Linked DNA regions of Drosophila melanogaster. Changing the gene in region 3 together with the main gene of any one other region gives a genetic interaction. Each region holds a gene or a part of one and is shown on either strand. Other genes may lie near its edges.

Region 1 (4,608 bases), on a different chromosome or scaffold from region 3:
GGCAAAAATTTGTATTGAGGCCGGCATTTTCACACTCACACATTTGCATTTATGTATACCAAGTTGTGTGCGTGTGTGTGTCGAGTGGTCTTTTTGAGTCCCGGCATCTGTGTTTGTATATACCGCATATTTGTCCGATTTCGCAAAGATGCTTGAAAATTGTTGTTCTACTCTGGCATTTGGGGTCCAAAATTTAGAACGAAAGTTTGTTACGCCCGAATTTCCGATCGATATAATGCTTTAGGGCCATTGACATTCGCATATGTACTTCGTGCCCATATGTATGTACATATGTAAGTAATTATAGTTGGGTGTGTCTGCAATTACACCGACGCTGGTGGCTGTGTGTATGCCTGTGTGCGTGTTGCATGCATGAGTCATTTTCTCTTGGGCGAAAGACTTTCATAGTTTTTCACCGGTTGTGAAAGCCATTTCACTGCCCAGATGGTGAAGGGTACTTTTCTATCGTCAAAACACGATAGCTTTTCTACACGCACATAAGAGCTTGCTGCTCATTTGTATGTGTGAGCGTCGGCCGGTTTTTTCATTTAATTTTTTTTTTTTTGCCGCTATGCGTCTTCTAAAGAGAAAACATGACGTCATTTTAACCTAAAATGGCTGAACCGGTCGTCGTTGAACGGTTCGCAGAACGTATAAGAGTTGATCTTATACGTAGATGGGATATAAGTATGTAGATATATGTGTTCGTAGGCTGCATTAGCTGTTCTATTGATTTTCATGCATTCCACACTCTGCTCCCTACTTAAAATTGCGCTACTTCGGCGGCTTCTCTATCTTATCATGGAATGAAACAATTTTCTATTTTTTATTCATGACTATAGTATAGACAGATTTCGGTTCTCTTTCGGCCATTATGTGCCAAAATGAAACTTTACTTTTAGCAGTAGGAATTGGGAGTCTGCAAGGTGAGATGATGACCTTATATAGAGGAATTTGCCATCTGTTTGTCTCTATCCCAGTTTCCTCTCGCACACAAAAAGCAACGAAACCGAGAAGGGCGGTGCTGCACATGCGTGTGGGATAACGGGGCACAGGACACGAAGGTGATGTTGATGATGACGAATCTTTCTAGTCCTTGCCCGAAAAATCAATACCCACATGCTGGGCATGGGCCCATGAGCCGAAAACAACCCTCGGAAACGCCTTAAAACCCGAGCAGCTGCAACATCAGAATTGTTGTGCCCAAGTATGGCTCTCAATATCTCTCTCTCTCGCTTTCGACCCGACCGGCTTACAAATGTGTATTTCTATATTTATATATACACTTTATATACATAGAATCCGGTATGACGGTGTCATTTCGCTAAACGAGTGTCAACCACGCATTTCCTCCAATACCAGTGTAGCGACTTATTTCGGTTAATTGTTTTTATTTGTTTACGCGACATAAACAACGACCATCGCAAAAAGTTCAGGTGACGTAATGCCCTGAAAAACAGACGATTTATGCGCCAGATGGTCGGTAGTTGGAGCACTGAGCTGCAGTTTTAACCTCTCAGCAAACAGACAACGCCAACGCCTCTCTCCAACTGGTACCCACTGCTCCTCCCACTCCTCCTCCGTTTCCCTCTTGCAGAGACGAGAGTGGGTCGCGAGACCCGAACAACCGGTGATGTAAGCCGCATCGGAAGCAGGGGGGCTTTTTGGGGTGGCAGAGCCCGGCTCTGAGGTCGCCGGCATTGCGTGGGGGCAGCACGTAGACATATAGACAGACAGACAGATAGTAGTTATACAGCTCAGTTCCAGCCCACGCCCGAAGATTCGAGTAAGATCGGTCGGCGGAACGCAATGACAGCTGCGCCTCGAGATCCGAAACGAAAACCCACGCCAGATGACGTTATCGTTGGTGTGGCGATGGTGCTGCTGGTCGTGGTGGTGGAAACGCACCAAAAATGGCAGCGAATAAGTTATGTTAATCGGAGCTCGGCCCATACACAGAGTTTATGATGGCGTACATGGGTGGCCTAAACCACGTAGCCGAGCCCAGACATGTGTATGTACATCGGCTGCTTCTTGTGCCCATTTATTCCAATCAATAAAGAGTTATATATAGACTGACTTTCCATAACCCATCACACATTTTGTTCGAGAAGGTTTCTGTATCGAAGTTATCTGTATAAGTTAAGAGAAAAACAAGAAAATAAGATTGCCTTTCACATGCATCAACTTTCACTGGGTATGGAAGAAAAATTTTAAGCAAATTACTTGCAGAATTGGAAATGAGTTTCAGTGATTAGTAAAAGTTTTCTTCAACTGCAGTACTCTTGTGCAAATAAAAGTTACCGTTGCTTAAGCATAAACTTCTTTTGTGATTTATGTGAAGCAGTCAAATAAATACTAGCTGTATATATGTATGCAGCAGATGGTCTAGGCTTTGAGTAATTTTACTACCATTGATTTTCTGTGATGACTCATTGGCCAAGTCATTCATACATTTTCTTAAGACTGAGTTAGAAAACACCCCCTAGTAATCGATTTTCCTGCTGACTCATGTTCACAAGAAATGCTGTACAGCACCTGCAAGTCCTAATCGCACTAATCCCAAATTCTTTACTTCCATTTCTCATTTGCAGTTCTGGGAGATCATCTCCGATGAGCATGGCATCGATGCCACCGGCGCCTACCACGGTGACAGCGACCTGCAGCTGGAGCGCATCAATGTGTACTACAATGAGGCGTCCGGTGGCAAGTACGTGCCCCGCGCTGTCCTTGTCGATCTGGAGCCCGGCACCATGGACTCTGTGCGATCGGGACCTTTCGGCCAGATCTTCAGGCCCGACAACTTTGTGTTCGGCCAGTCGGGTGCCGGCAACAACTGGGCCAAGGGTCATTACACAGAGGGTGCTGAGCTGGTGGACTCAGTGCTCGATGTTGTCCGCAAGGAGGCCGAATCCTGCGACTGCCTGCAAGGCTTCCAACTCACACACTCCCTTGGCGGCGGCACTGGCTCCGGTATGGGAACCCTGCTGATTTCCAAGATCCGCGAGGAGTACCCCGACAGGATCATGAACACATACTCGGTTGTGCCGTCGCCCAAGGTGTCGGACACCGTTGTGGAGCCCTACAACGCCACCCTGTCGGTGCACCAGCTGGTCGAGAACACGGACGAGACCTACTGCATCGACAACGAGGCTCTCTACGATATCTGCTTCCGCACCCTCAAGCTGACGACACCCACATACGGTGACCTGAACCATCTTGTCTCCCTGACCATGTCCGGCGTAACCACCTGCCTCCGATTCCCCGGCCAACTGAACGCTGATCTCCGCAAGCTGGCCGTCAACATGGTGCCCTTCCCACGTCTTCACTTCTTCATGCCCGGCTTCGCTCCCCTGACCTCCCGAGGATCCCAGCAGTACCGCGCCCTCACCGTGCCCGAGCTGACCCAGCAGATGTTCGATGCCAAGAACATGATGGCCGCCTGCGACCCACGCCACGGACGCTACCTTACCGTCGCCGCCATCTTCCGTGGACGCATGTCCATGAAGGAGGTCGACGAGCAGATGCTGAACATCCAGAACAAGAACAGCTCCTACTTCGTCGAATGGATCCCCAACAACGTGAAGACCGCCGTGTGCGACATCCCGCCCCGTGGTCTGAAGATGTCCGCCACCTTCATCGGCAACTCCACTGCCATCCAGGAGCTGTTCAAGCGCATCTCCGAGCAGTTCACCGCTATGTTCAGGCGCAAGGCTTTCTTGCATTGGTACACCGGCGAGGGCATGGACGAGATGGAGTTCACCGAGGCCGAGAGCAACATGAACGATCTGGTGTCCGAGTACCAGCAGTACCAGGAGGCCACCGCCGACGAGGACGCCGAGTTCGAGGAGGAGCAGGAGGCTGAGGTCGACGAGAACTAAATTCGAATCGGAAATCAATCGAATTCTCGATCAATGTTTTGCGAAAAAAAATGAAACGAGAACAAATGAATTCAGTTGTAAAAGATTTGTTCTCTTAACAACGTAATCAATAAAGTCGGATCCAATTTTGTTCACAAGTCTAAACAATTATGGTTTTTGTTGGGGTTTCTTATAATTAATAAGAGAGATATCAATCATTTTACGAGGATTATGAGACTGCGTTTTGTAGTCCAAGAAAGCTGATTAATGTTTAGAGTGTTGGTATAAATGTTAATAGGCTCATTAATGTAGGTTTTGACAAAAGCGAGGTATTTGTACATTTTCTCATTGTATTATTTGGATTCACAAATTTATGTTTATTTAATCGGGTTTCTCCCAGCTAAAAACAATAGAAATCTTTTCACCGGCTGTGTTTGTTTTGGACATGGTTATGTTGTGATGATTGATAATTTCATTCACATTAGTTTATTTATAGACCTTTTTTATTTATTGACAATGATTTGCCCTACCTACCTCAACTTTCGAGCAAATGCTGCATAAACAAAAGTAATTCGCCCTTGAAGAGGACATGACATGATATTTTCAGCGTAGGAAGTGGGCCTACGTACCATTGTGGTTCAGACGGCCTTGTATGCAATAAATCTAATTAATATATATATATATATATATTATGGTAGTCTTAACGCTACGGTTTCCCACACGCGATTTTCATGAAGCTGGAGTGTAA
Region 2 (3,497 bases), on a different chromosome or scaffold from region 3:
GGCCCTGCATAACGTTCTTCAAGAACTCGTGGTACTGATCCTTTAATTCGCTCTCAAAATGCCAGTACGCGTAAATGCGGCGCTTCTGTTCGTTGCGCAAATTCTCATCCTTTTTCAGCTTTTTCCAATCAGCACCACGTGTGTGCACCGCCAGGAGTTTTCTGTTTGGCGGGAGCAGCACCTCCTGCCACAAATCCGTGAGCACTGCAATCACATCATTGCTGGCCTTGTTGGAGATCTTGCAGAAGCCAATTAAAGTGCTCAATGCTTCCAAATTGCCCAGTGGATTGCTCGTCACCAGAAGGGCGCCCGCATTGGCCCGATCCTTTGCAGTACCCTTGTGCAGAGCGGTTTGCAACCAGCGAGCATCCGAGGGATTACCTAAAGATGAGATAAAAACATTAGTAGGGGTTCCAATTTCCGAGTCGAGAAAGTCTTACGTTTATTAAAAGTTATCTTCTCCGCTTCGAAGGAATTCTTGCAGAGATTGTACAGCTCCAGCTGATCGTTCTCCTTCATGTCCAGCACCTCATCGGTGGACGGATAGTCGGGATGCTAAGATACGATAGTGATAACTATAAATGATTTATTTCCACGATTTCAGTTTAGTTTCAACATACCACATGATACCACTTCTTTTGGGACTCCTCGTCTTCATCTATTTTTGACTGATATTTGTTGTGCTTTTTGGAAATGGAGTCCCCCAGTTCCTCATCACTGTCTCCATCGCTGTCGGATACATTTTTTCCAGCTCCATCCTCATCAAACTTGATTCGTTGGGGCTTTTTAAAGTTCTCCTTGGACTCTCCGTCATCTCCAAACTTGATTTTTTGGGACTTCTTGGTCGGTTCCGTCTTTGTGTTGGAAGAATTCGCAGTTACTTCATCTTCTCCATCATCAGTGAACTTGATTTTCTGAGGTTTATTGGCGAAGTCCGACTTTTGACCATTATGTTTATGGTTGTTTTTGTTGAAAGGTTTTTGATGCACTGCTTCTCTATCCTCTCCAAATTTGATTTTCTGTGGTTTTGGTCCATTTTTATGATTTTGGTTGAACGACTTGGAAGCTACTTGTTCTCCATCATCGCCGAACTTTATTCTCTGTGGTTTGTTGGCAAAATCCGGCTTTTGGTGGTTCTTATTAAAGGACTTAGCACCTTTCGCTTTTCCATCCTCTCCAAACTTAATTTTCTGCGGCTTTTTCACCTGTTCCTTCCCTTCAAATTTTGGCCTTTGTGGGTGCTCCTTTTTGTTTTGTTTAACTACCGCCTCGCCGGAGTCGTCGAACACGATTTTCTTGTTTTTGGGCGGTCCACCGAATTGCACACCTGTGGCCACTGCTGCCGGCATGATTTTATATTTTCTAAAGCTATATATTAGATAAAAATCATTAAATAAAATAAACGGCGTTAGAAACAACTCGCACGTGTATTCAAATATGACATTCACCGCGAAACGTAAGCAACATATGTATGTCGTCTACTTAGTGACGAATTTCATTGTCTTTATGATATTAAAATTTTGTATTTAAAATCTTAAATAAGAGAGTATCCAACTTAGTTTTAAAATTTATAAATTATTCAGTAATTACCATTGAAATGACCGTGACTTTTGATAGCAGGTGGGTTTGAAGTTATATAAAGCTTGAAGTTATTATAATCTGATTATAAGTAAGAATAAAATTGAAATTCTTATATAGAATTACTATTAATTTATAAATTATTACATTAACTTATGTTTAAGTAACTGAAGTTGTGCTATATTTTCTTTTACCGTTACACCATTTTTCCACAATACATTTACGGTCTTACTGCCTTGACGCGCTTGGGATTTGTTAGGACGTTTATCGCATAGTCCTCGTGTTCGGTCTCGTATTTTGAAAGAAAATCGCAGATTATCGCCAATTTGAAGCGATTATCCCGGTCTAGATTTCGAAGGGGTCCTTTTGGATAGCGAACATTGCAATGAGCACCGAATCGGCGAAGCCGGCACTCAGCCAGGAGGCCATTGTGGCCCAGTTCCAACAGCTGCGCAATGAGCAGCGCAATTTGGTCAACAGTTTAAATACGCTCGAAATGGATTTGAGGGAACACAAGTGAGTCACCGGGGGCCCAAAGATGGATGACACGTCTGTTTGTGATTTTGGGCAAGTGGGAGAATCCCTGCAGACACAATGACATAACTCCTTATCCTCCCTAGAACTGTGATAGAAACTCTGGAGGCGGCGGATCCCGAACGGAAATGCTTTCGTCAAATTGGTGGTGTGCTGTGCGAAAGGACCGTGAAGGAGGTGCTGCCACAGCTGGTGGAGAACAAGGATTTCATCGCCAAGACCATCCAAATGGTCACCAATGACCTGAGCAAAAAGGGCAGTGAGCTGAACAAGTTCAAGGAGGAGCACAATATCAAGATTCGCGGCGAACACTTGGTTGCCGAAGGAGCCAAGGGCGACGATGCGGAGGACAAGGCGGAGAACCGTAATGTCCTGGTGTTCAACTGAGAGCGATTGATTACCTCACCACACCGTATTTATTGTGTCTATGTTGAGAGGGAACTCTGCCAGGATTTGCGAGCGATAATCCGCGTTTATTGAACACTTCTAATGTTGTATGTACTTCTAGCTGTAAGGCGCAGTTCGCGAAACGCCTCCAATCGCACCTTCACACCAACACTATCCATCAATTCCCCTCATTTAAACTTAACCCACTCTGGCCACGAATTAAAGATACCTTAAACTTCCGATTGAAATTAGTCATGTGTCTTGTGATTCATTCAAGATCTGAAAATGGATGGACCTCTATCCACCGACTGGAAACAAAAACTATATAAACTATATGATTATTTATCCCTTTTATGCCATTTGTTCTGAAACATTTTATTGGTATGTTAGTCAAATTAGTTTCCTATAAGGAAGTGATTTCATCTACATTTTTACACTTATGTATTCTTGCTTCATAAGTCTTTTAATTTAATATTTGTGGCTAAATCAAGTAAGCAGTAGTTTATTTTCCATTCCCCGTATCGTGGTTAATCCGGTTAGTCGGGTATTCGACTTATTCGACTTCTGTAACTATCCCATTTTGCGGCTCCTCCCTCTGGAAGTCCCTTTTTCCGCCGGATTTGCTTAGCAGGCGGACATTTGTGATGCAGATATCGTGAGAAACAGCCTTGCACATGTCGTACACAGTTAAAGCGGCCACTGAAACTGCAGTTAGTGCCTCCATCTCGACTCCAGTTTGGCCCGAGCAGCGAACGGTTGCCTCCAGCCGCACAGATTGTTCGGTTTTCAGAAGAGTGGCCTGCACTTTCACGGAGGACAAGCTGATGTTGTGACACAGGGGTATCAGTTCGGCGGTTCGCTTAGCGCCCATTATGCCAGCAATTTGGGCTACGGTTAGAACATCTCCCTTGGCCACTTGATTGTCGGCTATAAGTTGGGTAAGTTTCTCACCCACCTGAACGGTGGCCTCTGCACGAGCTAATCTTGTGGTCGAAGGT
Region 3 (3,431 bases):
AAGCATCGTTCCCACAATGCGCGGAACAAGCGCTTCGATCCGATGATGCTCTGATCATCGGGGTACATGAAATTCGCTGGCTTGATGTAGCTAACTTCGGGAAGAGAGGATCGATGCTTGAAGCCCAGCAGCATCATTTGCGGCTTGTGCAGATTGCGCACCCTGTTCAACTGATCCATGCTGATGCGCAGATCCCTTTCGCCCACGTTGCAAGTGTACCAACCGCCCGTCACCTTAATCTGATACTCGTGCTCGATATCCTGCGAGCCATCGTCCTTTTGTTTTTGCACCGTAATCACTCGCTTAGTACGCACCACACTGTTGTCCCTGCGCAGGATTTGCACTTTGCGCGGATAGGCGCGTCGCTGAAAGTAATTGTAGTACTGTACGGACATGGATAGGTTGGGGCCCAGATAAAAACTGAAGTGGCCCAGGCATCGGCGAAGGAAATCCTGCTTCAACTTACGATCGGACAGGATTTCGCGCAGCATCTGGGCATCTGGCACCTGGAAGGCGTCCAGTTCGATAGCTGCAAAAAAGGTCCTCATTAAACATCATCTAGTGTACGGATTGCTATATATTTATTTTATTATTCTTGTAAGCCAATCCAAAACCACGAACCAATTGAGCTTCACTTGGATGCGGGTGAATGATTGCTTATATTTGATCTACGAAGTCTTAAAACCTTTCAGGCGAAAATTGAACGCCAAACAGGGGAACAGACTTCGCACATTAAAACCCATAAGAAATGAATAGCAGACTTAAAGGACTTACCTCTTGACAACGTGATGAACTCCTTGTAAAACGGCTCGTAGTCAAAGTCATCGACCATGGGAATGACATGAAACTCGAACTCCTTGCCCTCCAGATCGCTGGCCTTTTGCAGGGCAGCCTGGAAGTGATTGCTGTTCGATGGATGAGGTTCCCTGACGTCCGTGACATAGGCGATCTTGGCGTTGTTTAGCTTCTTGCCGCACTTTTCCAGCATCTCGATGCAGAGCCGGATCATAAGGTCAAACCTGCCGCGACCATCGGGTTCCGCCAGGCCATACACATCGGCGAACTGCGTCTCCACCCCGCCCATGAATTCCAGATAGTGCTCCACAATGGGTTTGGTTAGTTGGCGAAGGGGCAAGAACACTGCGCAGTTATCCGGCATTACGATGTTGTCCAATGCACTGGCTTCCAGCGGCGGCGGACTGTGCTTGGTGTTGGCGAAGATGAGTCCGATGAGGTCCTTGTCGTTAACCAGAAGTCCGGATATAAAGGCCGTCCGGATGATGTTCAGTGCCTCCAACAGGCGCTCCACGCCGGCTGTCTGAAGATTGGCGTCTACCACGAACAGAATGGCCTCGCGCCCATGGTAGTCCCGCTTCATGGACACATCCTCCTCGTCCTCGGACCCAGACAGCAGGTCCACATCGTTCTCCGGATTCCAGGTGCTCATTATGCGGCTTCTTTAGATTGCTAAAAATCTGACTTTCCGCTAATTTCACAAGAAGGCGGGCGCGCTTATCGTCGCTGTTGTTATCGATTGAGCTAGGGATGAGAGTCACGAAGAGAATTGATATATATTTAAATTTATTTAGACATTATTTAATGTTTTTAACATATTATATTATCCCAACGTTTATTTATATAATTATTTTAATATAAGTTAGTTTTACATTTTTATACGAAGTTGACCACCACCTTTCGATGACAGCCATTCAATCGATTGTTCCATCGCAATTTTGACTCATCGACTTTTACAGCGGCAGGCTGACCTCCTGAAAATTAAATTGCATTTGTAGACGGCACGGCTGAAGGCAACAGGATGACAGGAATAATGGACTCGGTGGAAATGCCCAAATTACCGGAAAACCAGAAGACCTTCGCCGGCATCCCGGAGGCAGTGTTCCTGGTGAGTGGTCCTAACCTACAAGCGTGCACCTGCAGCTGGACACTGCAGGCTAATTCGTGGTTCTTGGGCCCTTGCAGGAGGAGATCGACACCTTCATGTCGCAGCCGGAGAACGAAAATTGCGAAAAGGTGCTGCAGCGACTGGACGAGCAGCACGGCAAGTATCGATTCATGGCCTGCAATCTGGAGGCGCGGCGGCGCAAGTTGAAGTCTCAAATTCCGGACCTGGAGCGCTCCCTGGAAATGGTCAATGTGCTTCGCAAGGAGGACGAGGAGCGCGAGACGCAATTCCTGCTCAGCGACCAGGTGTTCATCAAGACACTGGTGCCGCCCACGAAAACAGTATACCTCTGGCTGGGGGCCAGCGTGATGCTGGAGTATCCGCTAGACGAGGCGGAGGCTCTGCTGAACCAGAACATCACATCGGCCGTGGGCAACCTAAAGTCCGTGGAGCACGATCAGGATTTTCTGAGGTCAGTTCGAGTGCTGTTATTCAAGTTACTTGTTTTATTGTATTATAAATGTATATTTTAGGGATCAAATCACAACTACGGAGGTGAACATGGCGCGGGTCTACAACTGGGGCGTGAAAAAGCGGCAGGCCGCTACCAAGACCACCGCCACTACCCCATCCTAAGGAGACCCACCCAAATCCCATCCCAAGATCAACATCGGTAGCAGCCACTCGCATCTTATTTATTTCGACAGTACACCGCAAGGGCTCGGCAGGCGATTCCACCTGGCTTATTCTTGTTCTCCACTGATAGCAATAAAACCGCCACACAAACGCATCAAGCTGACTCCAAACGAGATGCCTATTCCGGAGGAATGTAATATTTTAATTTGGCTACGGGCATTTAACTGCATGTAAACCGAATAAACGGCGAACGCAATTCATTGAGAGTAAAGCCGAATTCACAAATCATAGGATTAGGGTTCAGTTTATTTCAAATCTTTAACATCCGGAACTTACACGCCTCATTTGACCTCCCACTTCATGGATTGGTGCAGGTAGTCGCCATCGGGACTGACGTAATCCTTAATGGGGGGCGTGGCAACGGGTCCTTTGACGGCGACGGGCAGCAGCTGGGGATCGATATCGATGGCCGCCTGGTAGAGCTCCTCGGACTCGCGCCGAAGTTCCGCCAGCGCCTTGTTTTGCGCCTGGACCAGCCGGTCGATGATCTGAAAGTCTGCTACGCGCTCGTCGTGCTTGTAGTGCGCCCACTGCTTCTTGAGGAGAGCACGTTCCTCCAACTGGTCGATGGTCAGTGGAGCTAGCTTCCGCTGCCGTTTGCTGAACGATAGGATAGCATTACATCTCAGCATATGAGGGAAACCCGTATGAGAACCTACTCCTTTTCGTCGATGAGCTCCAGTGGAACCTCCAGTTCATCCACGGGCTTCAGCTGACGGGCATTCTTCTCCAGCCGGCGAATCTGCTTTTCGATCTTCTTCTTCTTGCGATCCTCGCGCTGCTTGACAATCTGCGGATCCAGTTTCTTCTTTTTCTTCAGGGGCTCCGCACA

What was found.
Region 1: of mgr (region 3) and betaTub56D, changing one enhances a phenotype caused by changing the other (phenotypic enhancement), as found in Drosophila melanogaster (one study listed by BioGRID).
Region 2: of mgr (region 3) and Pfdn2, changing one enhances a phenotype caused by changing the other (phenotypic enhancement), as found in Drosophila melanogaster (one study listed by BioGRID).

The regions. Positions count from the first base shown.
Region 1 is NT_033778.4:19,446,733-19,451,340, reverse strand, and holds betaTub56D (beta-Tubulin at 56D), read left to right. Parts: upstream 1-1,741; 5' UTR 1,742-1,930; coding exon 1,931-2,014; intron 2,015-2,594; coding exon 2,595-3,881; 3' UTR 3,882-4,022; downstream 4,023-4,608. UniProt on the Drosophila melanogaster protein: Tubulin is the major constituent of microtubules, a cylinder consisting of laterally associated linear protofilaments composed of alpha- and beta-tubulin heterodimers.
Region 2 is NT_037436.4:11,072,713-11,076,209, reverse strand, and holds Pfdn2 (prefoldin 2), read left to right. Parts: upstream 1-1,821; 5' UTR 1,822-1,963; coding exon 1,964-2,094; intron 2,095-2,198; coding exon 2,199-2,499; 3' UTR 2,500-2,918; downstream 2,919-3,497. Other genes in the region: Noc1 (nucleolar complex protein 1), read right to left, coding at 1-381, 441-555, 621-1,349; Mocs1 (molybdenum cofactor synthesis 1), read right to left, coding at 3,053-3,497. UniProt on the Drosophila melanogaster protein: Binds specifically to cytosolic chaperonin (c-CPN) and transfers target proteins to it. Binds to nascent polypeptide chain and promotes folding in an environment in which there are many competing pathways for nonnative proteins.
Region 3 is NT_033777.3:11,408,154-11,411,584, reverse strand, and holds mgr (merry-go-round), read left to right. Parts: upstream 1-1,709; 5' UTR 1,710-1,816; coding exon 1,817-1,903; intron 1,904-1,980; coding exon 1,981-2,375; intron 2,376-2,436; coding exon 2,437-2,539; 3' UTR 2,540-2,793; downstream 2,794-3,431. Other genes in the region: Irbp (inverted repeat-binding protein), read right to left, coding at 1-529, 775-1,447; mRpL40 (mitochondrial ribosomal protein L40), read right to left, coding at 2,881-3,199, 3,259-3,431. UniProt on the Drosophila melanogaster protein: Binds specifically to cytosolic chaperonin (c-CPN) and transfers target proteins to it. Binds to nascent polypeptide chain and promotes folding in an environment in which there are many competing pathways for nonnative proteins.